Saccharomyces cerevisiae S288C: one gene and its partners. The gene in region 2 interacts genetically with the main gene of each other region. Each region holds a gene or a part of one and is shown on either strand. Other genes may lie near its edges.

Region 1 (4,977 bases), on a different chromosome or scaffold from region 2:
ACGATAACAGACCTTGATTAAATGTAAACTACATATAAGTTTATAAGGGTTGGTTGATTCCATTATTTTTTGTTTTTTATATAAAGCCTATGAAAAATAAATGGAAGCGGCTGTTAGAATATAAAATAGAAGTTGAAACAACAAAAATGTAAGAAAGTTGCCAACAATAAATCTCAAACTTGAAAGTGTGGATCGAGGAATATGGACAATCTTTAAAAAATTTTTAGTCCCGTAGTTTTTCGAATTTTTCCTTACCAGTGACCATGAAACCATGATTGGGAGACGTATAAGTAATTTTTATCAAAGTTAAACAGAATAATGAACATTTTCTTCTATTTCTCCCTGTGAAGTTTTCATATAGAAAAAAACATAAGGGAAAGAAAATATTGATAATAGAAAGATAGTACCAAATTGAATTGGCAGGAAAATAGGTAAACAACGAACAGAAACGATAAAACAAAATAACATAAAAAAAGTAGACAAAAATAAAAACAAAAACAAAAACAAACAAAAACAAAAACAATGAAAAAATGTTAACAAAATAATGGCAAATGGTTGTCTTTTCTTTTAGAAAATTTATAGTTACAACAAGGAAATAACAGATCATTTAATGAAATAATTCGTGAACTAATTCTTCATACACAGCAATCTGAAAGTTGTCGAGTTCAATTTCGTTCAACGGAGGTGCAAAATTAACTCTGTTATTCCCCCTGTTCTGCGAAAACTCATTGACATTCATTAAATCTTCAGCATTGTAATTTTTTACTATGTTTTGATATAATTTCAGCTCTTTTTGTTGTTTATCATAATACTTAGAATCAATAGACAGATTATTCGGGATGGCACACAACCAAATTCTTGTCTTGTAATATTTGAACAGCTCTTTTATCAAGTCTCTAAAATCATTTCTCTCCTCACAAACGTAGTAAAACGTTAATTTCTTTCTATCAAATTGGAATTCTGCGTTTAAAATCTTGATATTCAATTTAGGCTTTGAATAAGTTGCAGCATTCGTAAAATTATTGGAAGAACTGTCATTTGTATTTTGAGATTTTGAATTATCATTTAACGCTTGTAATTTACTCTGAGCAATATGCAAGGCTTTTAATTCATCTTCAAATTTATTGTGCAAATTCGTTGTTACCTCCCACGGGGTGGCAAAACGTAAGACTTGTTTAGATGGTATGATTAACTCAGTTAATTCAACAACATCATACAATTTGGGATTTAATTTTTTCTTTTGCCCATTTTTTGAGTCAATCAACATTTGAATAAACTCATCATTGCGATAGTGCTGTGACTCACTTGTAATTAAAGAGTCAAAGTGAATTTTCTTTTTCAGAAAATTTATAAATAATGCTAAATTCAAATCGACAGAGGGCTCAACAACCAATACTAAATCCCTTCCACGGTCACCATCAATAATAACCAAGTCACCTCTCTTTAACAACAAATTGGTAGCTTGTGGAGTAGATAGTAGTTCAAGTTTCCCATTTTTCAAAGCAACCAGTACCAATGGTGTATAAGGTAAAAAGGAGTTATTAGCATTCCTGCATGATAGTTCTGTTGTGAAAGAGCCCTTCCTCCTATTTTTATTGCCTCCATTATTGGAAACAATTCCATTATTCGACTCTGGATCATTAACGTAATTCATGTTGCAACTTCTTAAAATGTCCAAGAAATTTAATAAAGATTGGTATGTATTACCTTCTTCATCGATTAAGCCCATGTTCTTCGCGTCGTAACTTTCATTAGAATCGTGCAACTTCAGCATTTTCTTAATATTATCTGTGAATTCAAAAACTGCAGAGCTAGCAAAATAGCCGCTGCCACAGTCGCTGTATAAATCGTGTAAGGTTTTGGACGAAGTCAAGTGTTTACCCTGAATTAAAACTAAACCATTGTCCAAAGATACATTTCCTTCATTGCTGTTCTCGTTCTGAAGGTTATGTGAGTTTGTAGAAGAAGGGACAGAACTGCTTCTTTGAAGTTGAACAAGCTGAACATCATCAACACGTTCGCCATTGAAAGAAGTAGGTACATTAACGTTTCTTGGTTGTTGTGGTTGTTGTGGTTGTTGCTGTTGTTGTTGAAAAGTAGGAAGGGATGGATTGAAGCTCGCTACCGGTTGTGTATTCCGGCGAAACTGTTGCATTGGAACCATATTGTGACTGTTGTTGTTGTTATTACTATTGCTGATACTGGCATTATTAGGCTCGTTATCATAAGGATACGGAGGTTGTACACCATTTCCAAACTCGGGCACACCTTTGGCGGTCAAATGGGTTGAGTTCAAGTTGTCATAGTTGAATCTGCTATTGAAAAGATTGAAACCTTGAGCGTGTTGCTGCTGCACTTGGGATGTTTGCTTTTGCCGAGCGTCAGGCATTTGATGGTTGATTAGAGTATCTGATATGTAGGAGGATCTCCTAATGGTAGACTCTGGATGAGATGGCTGTTGCCAATTAAATGATGGTACTTGTTGGTTGTTCATACTAGATGGGTTGCCAGCACTGTGTGATGGGGCAGCAAAATTGCTGCCGCTATTGGAAGTAAAACCTATGTTTGTTTTATTCATTAAACGCATGTAGTCTGAATCCATCCGATTCCCCATTAGGTCGTTTCCATTTGAATGAAATGAATTTCCATTAAATTGCGGGAACGACCGTTGTTGAGCTTGATAATTACCCATTTGAGTAGAGTTTAAATTATTGTTATTGGATGAAATGGGCGGTGCGGACATCGGCTCTGAATTAGACGAAGACATTTGAAAAGAGGTCAAATTACTGGAAGGGTGTTCTTGAATGAACCCGTTCTGGTGAGAAAACGGTTGCTGTTGTTGATTTGGCACTGGTGGCAAATACGGAAACCTACCCATAAAATCAATATCGTCAAAAGTCCTCCTGTTTTCCATACCATTTCCCGCACTTTTTATTGAGTTTCTCAAATTATTCAGGCCAGCAAGCGGATCAACCGTATCACTTCCTGAATTATTGGAGTTATCATTCAGTTTACGGGGTAAATCGGATAGCGATTTTCCGCTGTTATTCTTGAAAAGCAAGTCCTCATAGTAGTTCTTTAAATCCACATTGTCGGAAATGCTTGTTGTGCTATTAACAGTTGGGAGGTCCATTTTGCAACTGTATTTCTATTGAGCACTGTATCAGACACCGCTTTTTTTGATTTATCCTTCGTTTTTTTCTCTATAATTCTCTTGAGCCTTTCAATACACTTTATTCTTTTCTATATACGCTGTTTACTATATCAAAGAACACTCGAACTGATGCTATCTCTGTTTCTAACTGCCGAACCAATGAAAAATACAGCTCTTAATTATCAGTGAATCCTTCTTCTTATCCTTTATTTATTTTTGTTTTGTTCCTTTAGCTAAAACACGGATCCGTAATGTTATCCAACACGATTAGGGGAAGGATTCGTCTCCAAAAAACCGTTATGACCCAATCCTATATGACCTACGGCAGTCAGAGAAATACAGGTTTTCGCACTCGGAGGCGATTGTCGCCAATGGAAAGCTAGCCGATACTTTTTCCGTCAGCTTTGCGGGTTTTCTTTTTTGCGGCCTTGTAAACGGCTGTGGGAAAAGCGAAAAAAAGCAATGAGTTGGGAGAAATGGATGTGATTACATGAGCAACCAGTAGAAGATAGCATCAACCGCACACATGATTAGGATGTAGACGGCTATTACCTTGGACTTATTTTGTTCAAGTGCGGCTGTATGGACAACAGTGTTAGGGTCAGGTTCCTTGGTAGGGTACGATAATACAGCTGTAGTTGCTTGTTTGGTACTGTCCTCGGTTGTTGTCGGAACCTCAAAGACAATGCCAAGCCCCTTCATCATGTGCCACTCCACATGACAATGTAAAAGCCATTTTCCGGGCATCTCGGTGTTAATTCTCAAAACCGCGTAAGAATTTCCTGCAATGTTAATGCTATCCCTTACCATCGGTGCCTTTCCGGTTCGGGCCAGGTGACGTAAATCGTTCTGATAGCGGCTCCATGCCTTGCCCTCTTGTACGTCTTTGTGAAATGGGCCATCACCTTTATTGCCAAGAGATATTATCTGGAAGTGATGGCCATGCATATGCCATGGGTGTCTCATGTGGTCCAGTGAGTTGATTACAATATCATATGTTTCGTTGAATCCGAACCTTACCGGGTCTTTTACGTACTCGCTGAATGTCCGTTCGTTCACCTTATACATCCCAGTCCCATACTTTTGTTTCGTGCTTTCATCTTTGTAATAAGCATAATCGAATTCGAAAACTGCAACAGGATCAGCCTTTGTGCGTAACTTTTTATTCTCTTCTTGCGTTGGTTCTATGTCGCGATAAAGCTCGGCCTTAGTGAAACCAGGCAAGTGTTCGATGGAAACGTCATTGGGGTTCTTTGGTAGGTCCAAATGAGCGCCTTCTTTGTAAAACCACCACTGTTTTGTTATATAACCCATCATTTTGTTACAGCCATTAATCATACGAATAAAACTAGTGTCAGACTTTAGTTTGACCAAAATTGTATATCTTTGTCCGACCGCTAAATTTATCGTTTGTACAATGAACGGTTTAATCATAATCCCGTCGGCTTCTAGAACAATTAATTGGAATCCATCAAGGTGAAAGACTTGAGTACCAGACATTCCTGAGTTTACGATTCTCAAAAGAAGATACTCGGTGTTAAATCCTATTTTGATAGTTTCACCGTCAGATGATTTTCCATTTATTAATGATCCATCAAATTTGGGATCTGTACCCCCGGTAGATGACAAAACCTTGTCGTTTAAAATGTCCAAATTCCAATTGGTATACCAATCACTCAAAGTGATAATCCTTTCTTGAACTTCATAATCCGTCAATTCCTTCGTGTGTTTATCTTTTTTCATTGTAACAACACCGTCATCTAGTGTCTCTATGTCTCTCACAGAATTAATAGTATTTGCCACATGATTATCATAATCATCGC
Region 2 (7,406 bases):
ACGATACCCACCACCACACCACATCCTGATTTATTGCAAATCCAACGCCACGGCGAGCTACTCAGGAAACTAAAACATTTCAACTTGCCCTATGGTGACTGGAAACATCTCAACACACAAGACCAAGAAAATGCTTCGCAACATCCGTATTACGATTGCTCTACTTTGAGAATTGTCCTTGACAACTTCCTGCAATCAAATAATAAATCAAACTGCTTATCTCATTTGCGCAATCAAGTATTCATCACGCTAAGTGCTAATGAAATCTACGACATCTACTTCTCTGAAAGAAACAACTACTCGAAGGATGATTCAATCATCATATATACTGTATTCGATACTCCCATCACAGCGCAGCACGTATTCCGAAACTGGTCAAGTGGGAACCTCATACCCACGGTCAAGGATATTTCGCCCTTGATCCCGCTACATTACTACTCTGATTTTAATTTGGAGACGGAACTGAATGACGATATTGCAAGACTGGTCTCTAATGAACCTATCCTACTCGACTAGCTTGCACATATGTATGCCTGTTTTTCTTTATCCTATGGAACACTATATTTTCCGGGGCTTTCTTACAAAACGGAAGAAAAAGAAAAGGAAACTCAGCAAGTACTATGTACAAGAATATATATATATGTATATTGTATATATACATCAACTTCTATACTTCGAGGGAAAACATTAACAAGAGAACAAGTACAAGCCACGTGGTATACGTATCAGAATAATGCTACGTATGTCAACTTCAAGATTCATTGGGCAAAGGCTGTTCACTACGGCACGATCTCTCCAGGCTGCTAAACCGGCACCAAAAGGTAAAACTCAAGGATTTTCCAAAAAATCATCTTCAGTCTCATCTTACTCATCTGCAAAGAGAGTTACTCCTGGTTCATTGTATAAAAACTGGACAAACACCACGCACACCGCTCAATTACAACAGACCGCCGTTCCTTTGGCATTACCTATCTTCAACTTTGATGATATTTCCAAGACTTTGAATAAAGTAGTATCATATTCCAACAAACAGTACAAATCCCTTCACCATTTGGGTTCCTTCAAGAAGTCGCAGTTCAATGAACTTTTTCAAAAACCGGTTTGTCTAGTTCGTGAAGATGCAACGAATAGCTTTTTGAAGAAACTAGTATCTCATCCTGTTAAAAAATTTATAATCACTGGAGAGCCAGGGGTCGGGAAAACTGTACTACTCTCTCAAGCGCATGCATATGCAGTTGATTCCAAGCAAATCATTATTAACATATCATATCCTGAATTATTCCTGAACGGTAGGAATGACTTTTCTTATGATGATGATTTAAAGCTTTTCATCCAACCGATGTATTTGAAAAAGCTTATAAGGAAAATATTGAAGGCAAATGACCCTGCATTGTTAAAATCTATTGAGCTATCCAAAGACTACAAGTTCTCGAATGCAAACCCAAAGAATGCCTCTGTAAAACCATTTGTCACATTAAACAAAACGAAAAATACAGTTTTAGATTTGTTATCCGTAATGACCCACCCGCATAATCGTGGAAAACTAATGAAAGCCATTATTGATGAGTTATCTGTCCAATCCAAGGTGCCAATCATGTTTACAGTGGATAATTTTTCAAAAGTGTTAACTACTGCATATTCTGCGTACAGAAATACAGAGAATAAACAAATATATTCCCTGGATTTACAAATGGGTAAATTGATGATGGACATTATTTCAGGAGAGACGAAATTTGCTAATGGTGAGAGTTCTACTATATTAGCTATATCCGGCGTTGACAGGACAAACAAAACTTTACCCGTGGCATTGGGCAAGATCCCAGTAGACCCCTATGTTACTAGATATCACTATGAACCGAAGTTCGTAGAATTGCTCCAAAAAGGTAATGTCACCGAATTCGAGGTTCCTAAACTGAACAAACAGGAAGTTAACGAACTAATCGATTACTACAAACAATCAAATGTTTTATTAGACAAGGATATCACAGGAAAAAAGTGGGAGAACTTGATTGACGAAAAATATTTCCTAAGTGGTAACGGTAACCCAAGAGAATTATTGAAAAGTTTAGTCCTTTCCCATAGGTGATAAGCATGCGCATATATATACATGTATATGCGTATATAACACTTTCACCCTCGCTTCTCAAAATTCTCCCATTTCTCATGTACATATAAATAGATAACTAACTGAATTAATTTAGCAAAAGCAATTGCTTTTGCTTTTCTATCTTATTCATACACAAAATTCTTACACCGATATATGTCGATACGAACACTTCTTAGCCTAATCCGACCAATCATCCTCGTCTACATATTTTGGCTCCTTATCATTACTTGGGGGCTGTGAATGGACTGGCTTAGAGGTAGATAATGTCGCATTTTGACTTTGAGACGGTAGTGGTCTCCCACTACCACCAGCCATATTTGCTCTTCTCTCGTCCCAGCACCTTTTAATATCACCAACAATTTCCTCGAGGTCCTCCAATGAAACTGAATCGTTGATACTCTCCAAAACTTTCTGGACCACCGATGTATGATTACCATTTAACTTATCATCCCTGAATCTTAACATTTCCCACGCCCCAGTCTCTTGGTTTTTTGCGCACTCTACTATTCTACCATTTAATGGCTGTTCTAGGTTCTTCAAATTTTGCCATTCCTCATCTGAAACGCTCAACTCTGCAAATTTTCTGTATGTTCTTTCTAATATTTCAAATTCCTTCCTATCGAAAGGCTGGTCGAAATGTTTTAAACGTGAATTGACATCAGCTCCGCCTTGCCAGACATATAAGCTGAAAACTGGCTTAACGTCATAATTGTAATACCACCTGTTCCGATCATCTTTAGGCAAAGAAGGATCCTCCACCATTGGGATATCTAAAATCAATTTGAAGTCCACGGTGTTTTCTTGTTCTGGCTTCCATTTTAATAACAATGAATCTTTTCCGCCGGCAGTGTAAGGTGCCTTCACAGGAGTAAATATCAGACCATCAGAAAGATGTGGTAGTTTATCTAAACTTTTAGCAACTTTTACTAATTGGTAACTGAAATCCATATGTTTCATGGAAATTTTGAACGGAAAAGTAGTACAACGATTAGGGTACGCTGCTCTTAAATCGAAGTATGGTTTAAAAAATTCTTTTCCAAGGTGGGCTAGTCTAGAACTTGTTGGTGATTGTGTGAGACATCTACCATTGATAGCAAGACAATCGAACATTAAATAACGCAACTCTTGTAATTTTGTCATTGGGTTAGTTTGTATGACAAGTTCACCATCTAATAAGGTGCCATCTTGAAGAGTCTCTAGCAGCTCTTCTTTCTTCTTTTGGGGTAATCTGGGAAACCTAAATCCATTAACCAGATAATAGTTATTTTCCCTATCAATCATAAAGCATCCTTGCTCACCCGTCACAGGATTTATCACTATAAACATCAACACCCGCAGACCATCTGTTTTCTCACAAACGTAGTAATCATGCGCAAGCAGCTTCTCTTCCACATCAGAATGCTGAAAGGACACAGGCTGGGAACCAGGGAATGTTTTCGTAGGTTTTGGGGAATTCAATAATTTACAGACCATCATCTTCAAGTCTTGCGTGACATTCCCAGGTTGAATGAGCCCAGGAATTTCCGGTGCCACTCTACTTTCCATTGCTAAAACCATATTTGTTAAATTAGCGGTCGATTCGTATTTGCTTATTCCGTTAGTTAGCTTTAGTTTAGATATAACAGATCGTATTCCACCATTTCTTTCGTTATTTTCTGCAATGAACTATTTATTATACTAGGTTACGCTTCGGAGCGACTGACCCGAACATCATGGAGAACTATATATATTTTATGATATTGCTTTCAAAAGGACTAAAAATAAAATGCCATCGAACTATCTGGTGGCAAAATTGGCCTATCGGGACATATTGAGATCATCTGCCTTTCAGCTGGTCACGCTATGCCTAAAGAAGAAGATTTCCAATTACCTAGAAGAAGAGAGGCTGCTAAAAACGTGAATTATAATGAAATGGAAATAGATACTAAATTAGTTCAACAAATACAAATAGCGGAAAAAAGTGGTGCTAAGACCAAGGGTAGCAATAGCCAAACTCCCAGGAATTGTAAAAGGACAAGCAATCCAGCTAGTAGAAACGAGAAATTCAAGTACCAAAAATTCCTTCATGATAAGAATACTTGCTGGAACTTTATCCCTACATTACCCCCTTCGTTCAGAAAGAATAGCAGATTCTCTAACATACTTGATCTAGATGATGCCATGATTGACTTGAAAAAGATGTCTCTTTTCAATACAGAATCTGTCCTTTTATCTGCGAACGACACTATTTATATGATATCAGAGCCTGCTGGCGAGCCTTATTATGTTGGCAGAGTTGTAAATTTTGTTAGTAAACCAGAATTTTCTAACACTATTCATGAAGCTATAAAGACAACATCGGTCTTCCCTGCTAAATTTTTTCAAGTTAGAATGAATTGGTTTTATCGTCCTAGGGATATTCAAGAGCACGTAAATACTTTTAACCCAAGGTTGGTGTATGCATCATTACACCAGGACATATGTCCTATTTCATCATACAGGGGAAAATGTAGTATATTTCATAAAGACGAAGTTTTTGATGTTCTTCCTAATGAGAAGGAATGCATTATACGACCCAATATCTTTTACTTTGATGAACTTTTTGACAGATATACTTTGAAATATTACAAAGTTTACAGCACGGATAAAATATTAAATAAATGGAACAGTAAGTCGCCATTTCTTTATGTTTTGAATAGGAGATTTCGTTATATCTATACAGAACCGAAGTATCCATTGGAGAACGTTTTGAAGAAATACGTTTTCCATGAACTAGAGGTAAACGAATTAAGTCCTGCAGACTACCAATGGGATAAAAGATGTCAGTTCTGTAAAGAATGGTGTATCCAAAAGGAGAGCCTTTCATGTGATGAATGCGGCGTTTGTGCACATCTATACTGTATGGATCCGCCACTTGACAGGAAGCCGAACAAAGACGTCGTTTGGACCTGCTTCAGTTGCTTACAGAAACAACAAGGTACTAAGGACTCGCATGTTAGGTTTCTAGAAGAACAAGCACTGGAACTGGATTTTATTCGCTCTGTAAGACAAAAAATTGAAGAAATTTCTAGCAAAGCTATCAAAGAGAATGTTGGTTATAATACCGAAAATTGCTGGTTTCAATACTTAGGAATATATTCCATTTCTCATATTGGTGACGCATTAAATGATTCTATGTTTTTTCCATATCCTTTCAAACCCTCTAGGGTAGGAGTGAAGTATCAATGGAACGGATGTAATCATAATGTGCCCTGGAGGCGGAACTCGTATATAAGTGCAAATTCAGAAGAAGAGCGAGGCTCAACGAAAACTTCGGAACTAGCATGGGTACTTGATGCATCAAAAATTACTACTCGAAAATTGAGTGAATATATTGAACAATGCAAAAGCGAAATATGCCCTATTCTCAATGTGAGAGGTGAGACTTGTAATTTCATTGATGTAGTCCTAAAGAATTTATTATTTACAAATTATGATACAGCAGAGGCATTTAAAAAATGTAAAAGGGAGCTTTCCAGAAAATTTTTGAAAGAGCCAAGTTTTACCGCCGTGGAGATCCGAAAGTTTGAGGAAGCTGTCGAGAAATTTGGGAGTGAATTACGCCCAGTGTGTGAGTATGTGGGCACTCAACCTATGTCGATGATTGTTAGATTTTATTACAATTGGAAAAAGACTGAAAGAGGCCTTACCGTGAGAGGGAAATTGAGTAAGTTATCAAAGAATAAAAGAAAAAAAGAAATCGCTAATCATGAAAATGACGTAGAGACAAAGTATATAGATGATTCTTCTTTTGATACTGAGAAACTCTCTTTAGCAGAATCCTCCTTCCAATGCATGTTTTGTAAAACAGATTACTCCCCGATGTGGTATAGAGTTACTGGAGGTTCAGATGATGAAAAGATCAAGATAAGAATGCAGACAGGAGTCAACGAAAAAACAGAAATTTCAGAGAAATCGCCTGCCCATAGCAAAAAGAATGAAAAACTTGGCGCTCTTTGCATTCGTTGTGCTCGTATGTGGCGAAGATACGCAATTAAGTGGGTACCACCGCTTGAAACATTGAGAAAAATAACGGGAACCTGTCAGAATAGTTTTTATTCAGCGATAGAAGGGATTATAGAGGAGAATAACACAAACAAGTTTACGTTATCTCCCTTTCAAGCTCATAATAAACTACTAGAATGGGAACTTGTTCAGGATTCAGAGCTAATTATCAGGCAAAGAATGAAAGTTTACAAGAACCCAAATTCATTTGTGAAAATGAAGCGGTATTCCATGACATTCCACACGCAACTCTACAAAATGGCTGTGAGATCATATCGAAAGAATGAGTTTCACCCGGAGACGATGCAACGAGATCTTGAGCTATTTATAGAGGACAACAAAGAGGTAAGAAAAGCCATCCCTGAACAAAAGCCAGAAAGAGCGAAAAACACAAAGGACGAATTTCCCGTGAACATAATTCGACAATCACCTGGTACTATCAAAACAAGTGATACAAGCCGAAATCGCAAGTGCAACGATGTATTTATCGAGAAGGCTAGTAATAACAATATTCCTAAAATCACTAATGCTTCGAATGATTTGATAGAAATTTCAATTAAAACAGGCGGCAGTTCTTCTGGTTCAGTGTCTGTAGATAAAGGTTTTAAATTTGTCAAATTTGATAACAAAACATTTCAGCGATTACGGAATAGCTTAAAGTTAGTGAATAATAAGCTGCCAAAATATAATGAACCTTCAACGAAGAAGATCAAAATGATCAATGACATAGCGTTAAGTAATCCGTTAAACGAACCAAACGGGGCATCGTACAATTATACAGTTATTTCACATTCTAAGGAAACTTCTGTCGCCCTTGAAAAATACCATGATGGTAATAAACCGAGCAAAATGTTAGAGAAAGACATGATTTTGAAACACACTAAGAATAAACCAAAAAATCCTGATACAGCATGGGCAAATAATAGCGCAAGGACTTTTTGTAGTGTCTGCAAAGAAAAATTTAACGACAATGACAACTATGAGGTAGTATGTGGTAATTGTGGACTTACAGTACACTACTTCTGTTATGCTATTAAACTGCCGAAAGATATGAAGAAAAACACTAACCTTAAGACATTTAAATGGTTATGTGACCCTTGTTCAAATGACCTCAATCCTATAATATCAACGACCTACCAATGTAGTATGTGTCCTACGAAGGACTATGACTATGATAGATATAGGAGCCAATCATTTAAAATATGTCCAGACGCATTGAAATGCACGAGCTTAGGGACATGGGTGCATTTGGTTTGCTCACTTTTCAATGAAGATA
Region 3 (3,252 bases), on a different chromosome or scaffold from region 2:
AATATTGTTTTGTTTATTAAACATTTACAAACTTAAATAAACAAACCAACAAATAAATAAACAAATCAACAAATAAATAAACAAATAAATAAACAAAAAACTATGATAAAATATTTCTAAAAATCTAATTGGAAAACAAAAAACTATCCAAAACCCTGGGCAAAATAATTATTTCGAATAAGTACCTCGACTTCAAATCAAAACAAACAAACAAACAAGCAAACAAACAAATAAACAAACAAATTCTCTGTTCCTATTTTCTTCCTCTTTGTTCTGCACTTCCAGCTTTTTATGCGAGAACATCGTGTAAACTTCCTATTTAAGTAATTACATGGCTGAAAAAGTGAACACGCTAGAACACGAAAAGACAAAAAAGAAAAATGGAAAAAACAGAGGAAAATCAAGTAGAATAATGTTTATTTACCTTTCACTCAACTGTATCTTTTTGTTTATTTACTTTTCGAGTTTGCATAATTGTACTGAATCAATCCTTGCGCAATTTGGTTTTGAGAAGAGTTTCCAGTAAAATAAAATGCAAAATTATTGTTTATATACTTATTTACTAGTATATTTAATTGAGCTAAGCAAGGATTTATGTGTTGATGCTTTATTGTGCTTTTTGTACTGGACTTCTTGGTCTTAACAGCTCAATCTCATTTTTTAATGGGATATTCGAACCTAAATTAGCTATCTCTTCTTTATATCTCTTGGGTGAGAAGTTATCCAACATAACATCTGGGCTCACTATAACCCAGCCAGGTCTTACTTTGACGGGTGTCTCGTAACCAGTCCTTGCAGGAATAATATGTAATCGTCTAGTCGCGGTAGAGAAGTTTTCTGCAATACGATACAAATGGGATGGTACAGCACCATTAGTGGTGTCCTTCGTTTCGATACTCAAGTCAGTGTCTACGTTACAATGAATAAGATGTCCATCTGTAGACCTCCTTACTGTACCTGTGATACACATCCAACAGTGCCATTGCATTTTTTCCATCAACGTTTCATCGTCCTGATCTAAACCTGGATAAAACGGTGATTTCTTGTCAATAGGAACAAAAACCAATTCTTCACTTCTTCTAAACTTTTTAGCCCATATTTCATTATTCAAAAGTTTAGTAAGTTCATTGATTTTTTGAGAATTGGCCCAGATGAACAGGAAACCTGGTTTGGAGATCAATCTATCCAATGGCAATTGGGTTAAAATTGGGTAAATAAACTGATTTTCTGTTAAGCAGCCAATCATCACCACGTCGAAAGTCAAATTTTCGTTCTGTATCCAGTGATTCAACGTTGGAACAATGGAATCTATTCCGATTTTACACCCAAATGGCGTAGTGGCAAATTGATTTATTTGTTTAGCTTTCGCCTGAAATAATTTCTGAAGTTTTGGATAGCCATCAACCCTATTCTCAATATTAGTAACATGCTGTTGCGGTAGCGACTTCCCATGAATGTAGTTATTCGAGTAATCGTTTGTATGGAAGTCTCTAGAGGGTTTGAATGATACGTGTTTAGATTTCATTTCTATTGTTTCCTGGTTTGGCCCTTGCAAGTGACTGTTGTTGATGTGTCTGCTTTTATTCTGGTCGTAAGTTGGATCTTGGAATGCCATCTTAATAGTATTCTCACTTCTCTTTTGTTTTATAATGGCTGTTCTACTTTCTTCTATGTCATAATATTTAACAAAAAGTCGCACTTGAAAAGTTGAAACAAGTTATGTCGCAAGATGAAACTCGGAAATGACGAAGTGTGAAACAAGACTACAGAGCGACAAAAACCAAGCTGCAAATATACAGTAATGAAACTGAAAATATGTCCAGCAAAACTAAAATTGTTTGAGCTCGATACTAACTTCCTTCTTTTTTTTTTTTTTTTTTTTTTTACTTTTGGCTATCCTATTGTAAACGCTGTTTTACCCTTTTGCAAAGCATTTGATCACAAGATATATCCCAAAAACTATTTTTTGACTTAAGGCATTAAGAGGAGATAAGGCTCCTAATGTCACATCCAAAAGCCAAAGTATGGGACAAGCATTTCGCCCCTTTGCTCTTATTGCTTCTTGTTAAGTAGAAAGGGTAATTATAATCGAAAAATTCGCGGGAAATGATTTCAATGTTCGACTCTGAGGTAAGAAGTAAAGAGGAGATGAATAAAAGTAAAGGAAGAAGAAAAGAAAGTTGAATGGTTTCGAAGAAAAATACGGCTGAAATCAGTGCAAAAGATATATGGGAGAATATATGGAGTGGTGTAAGTTCGCTGCTTGATTTCTTCGCAGTATTGGAAAACCTAGGCGTGGTCAACGATAAGTTATATGTAAGTGGGCTATTACGGAAAGTTTGGCTGTGTTACTCGTGCATTTCAGTGATAAAATGTGTATGGAAATTAATAAAATTATGCAAGGTGAAATTTAAAATCGATCAACGATTGGATGGGGAGGGAAATGGTCTAGTAAAGGATAAGTTGATAAACTTCAAGAAAAAATATAACGAACATATCAGACATATTACTGCTGCTTTACTCCAAGATTTGAGCTATTTAATGGTTTTAATCTATCCAGGGACGAGGTTATTTAAAAGATTATCTAACATAATAACACTTTGTAGAATAATTGTATAATTTTATGCTTGAACGAATTTAGTTCTGTAAGCCCAGCTCCTTCAAGAAAGCATCCTTAGAAGGTTCCCTACCCAAAAATTCTTTCAGATTATCATTAATATCATAAAGGCCACCACGAGCCAACACAATATCACGGTATTGTATCCCATTCTTGGCATTTAACGGATCCTTAGCGAATTTGGTGTGATACATATCAGTTGCAAAGACTTCCGCCCATAGATAACCGTAATAACCGGCAGAGTAAGAGTCTGACATTATATGGCCAAATGAATCATAACCCTTGGATAACGTACCACCATTAGAAATCAAAGAAATATCCTGTCTCAATTGGTTCCAGGTATCGCAAATTGACAGGTTTTGCAAGTCTTTACAAGTATGTACTTTCATATCAAATAACCCAAAATGTAATTGTCTTAGAGTGAATAAAGCACCATTTACGTGTTTAGTTTTGATCAATGAATTGATCAAAGATTCTGGAATTTTTTCGCCCGTTTTGTAATGTGATGAGAGGTTGATTAATTCATTCTTATTCCAAGTCCAAAATTCTAACATTTGGGAAGGTGCCTCCACAAAATCCCATGGAACAGATCCGGGGCCATTAAACCTCGATTCCTTGTTTTGTCCCACCAGGTC

What was found. A genetic interaction does not mean that the proteins touch.
Region 1: mutations in CEG1 (region 2) and PSP1 together harm fitness more than expected from each alone (negative genetic interaction), as found in Saccharomyces cerevisiae (2 studies listed by BioGRID).
Region 3: mutations in CEG1 (region 2) and KAR4 together harm fitness more than expected from each alone (negative genetic interaction), as found in Saccharomyces cerevisiae (2 studies listed by BioGRID).

The regions. Positions count from the first base shown.
Region 1 is NC_001136.10:1,456,088-1,461,064, forward strand, and holds PSP1 (Psp1p), read right to left. Parts: upstream 3,134-4,977; coding exon 608-3,133; downstream 1-607. Other genes in the region: SPG3 (Spg3p), read right to left, coding at 224-607; GMC1 (putative oxidoreductase), read right to left, coding at 3,641-4,977. UniProt on the Saccharomyces cerevisiae protein: DNA polymerase alpha mutation suppressor.
Region 2 is NC_001139.9:262,403-269,808, reverse strand, and holds CEG1 (mRNA guanylyltransferase), read right to left. Parts: upstream 3,665-7,406; coding exon 2,285-3,664; downstream 1-2,284. Other genes in the region: U2-type spliceosomal complex subunit CWC23, read left to right, coding at 1-516; mitochondrial 37S ribosomal protein mS29 RSM23, read left to right, coding at 734-2,086; DNA-binding E3 ubiquitin-protein ligase SNT2, read left to right, coding at 3,950-7,406. UniProt on the Saccharomyces cerevisiae protein: Second step of mRNA capping. Transfer of the GMP moiety of GTP to the 5'-diphosphate terminus of RNA via a covalent enzyme-GMP reaction intermediate.
Region 3 is NC_001135.5:26,292-29,543, reverse strand, and holds KAR4 (Kar4p), read right to left. Parts: upstream 1,616-3,252; coding exon 608-1,615; downstream 1-607. Other genes in the region: PEX34 (Pex34p), read left to right, coding at 2,185-2,619; PRD1 (metalloendopeptidase), read right to left, coding at 2,638-3,252. UniProt on the Saccharomyces cerevisiae protein: Component of the MIS complex, a complex that mediates N6-methyladenosine (m6A) methylation of meiotic mRNAs and is required for initiation of meiosis, progression through the meiotic divisions and sporulation.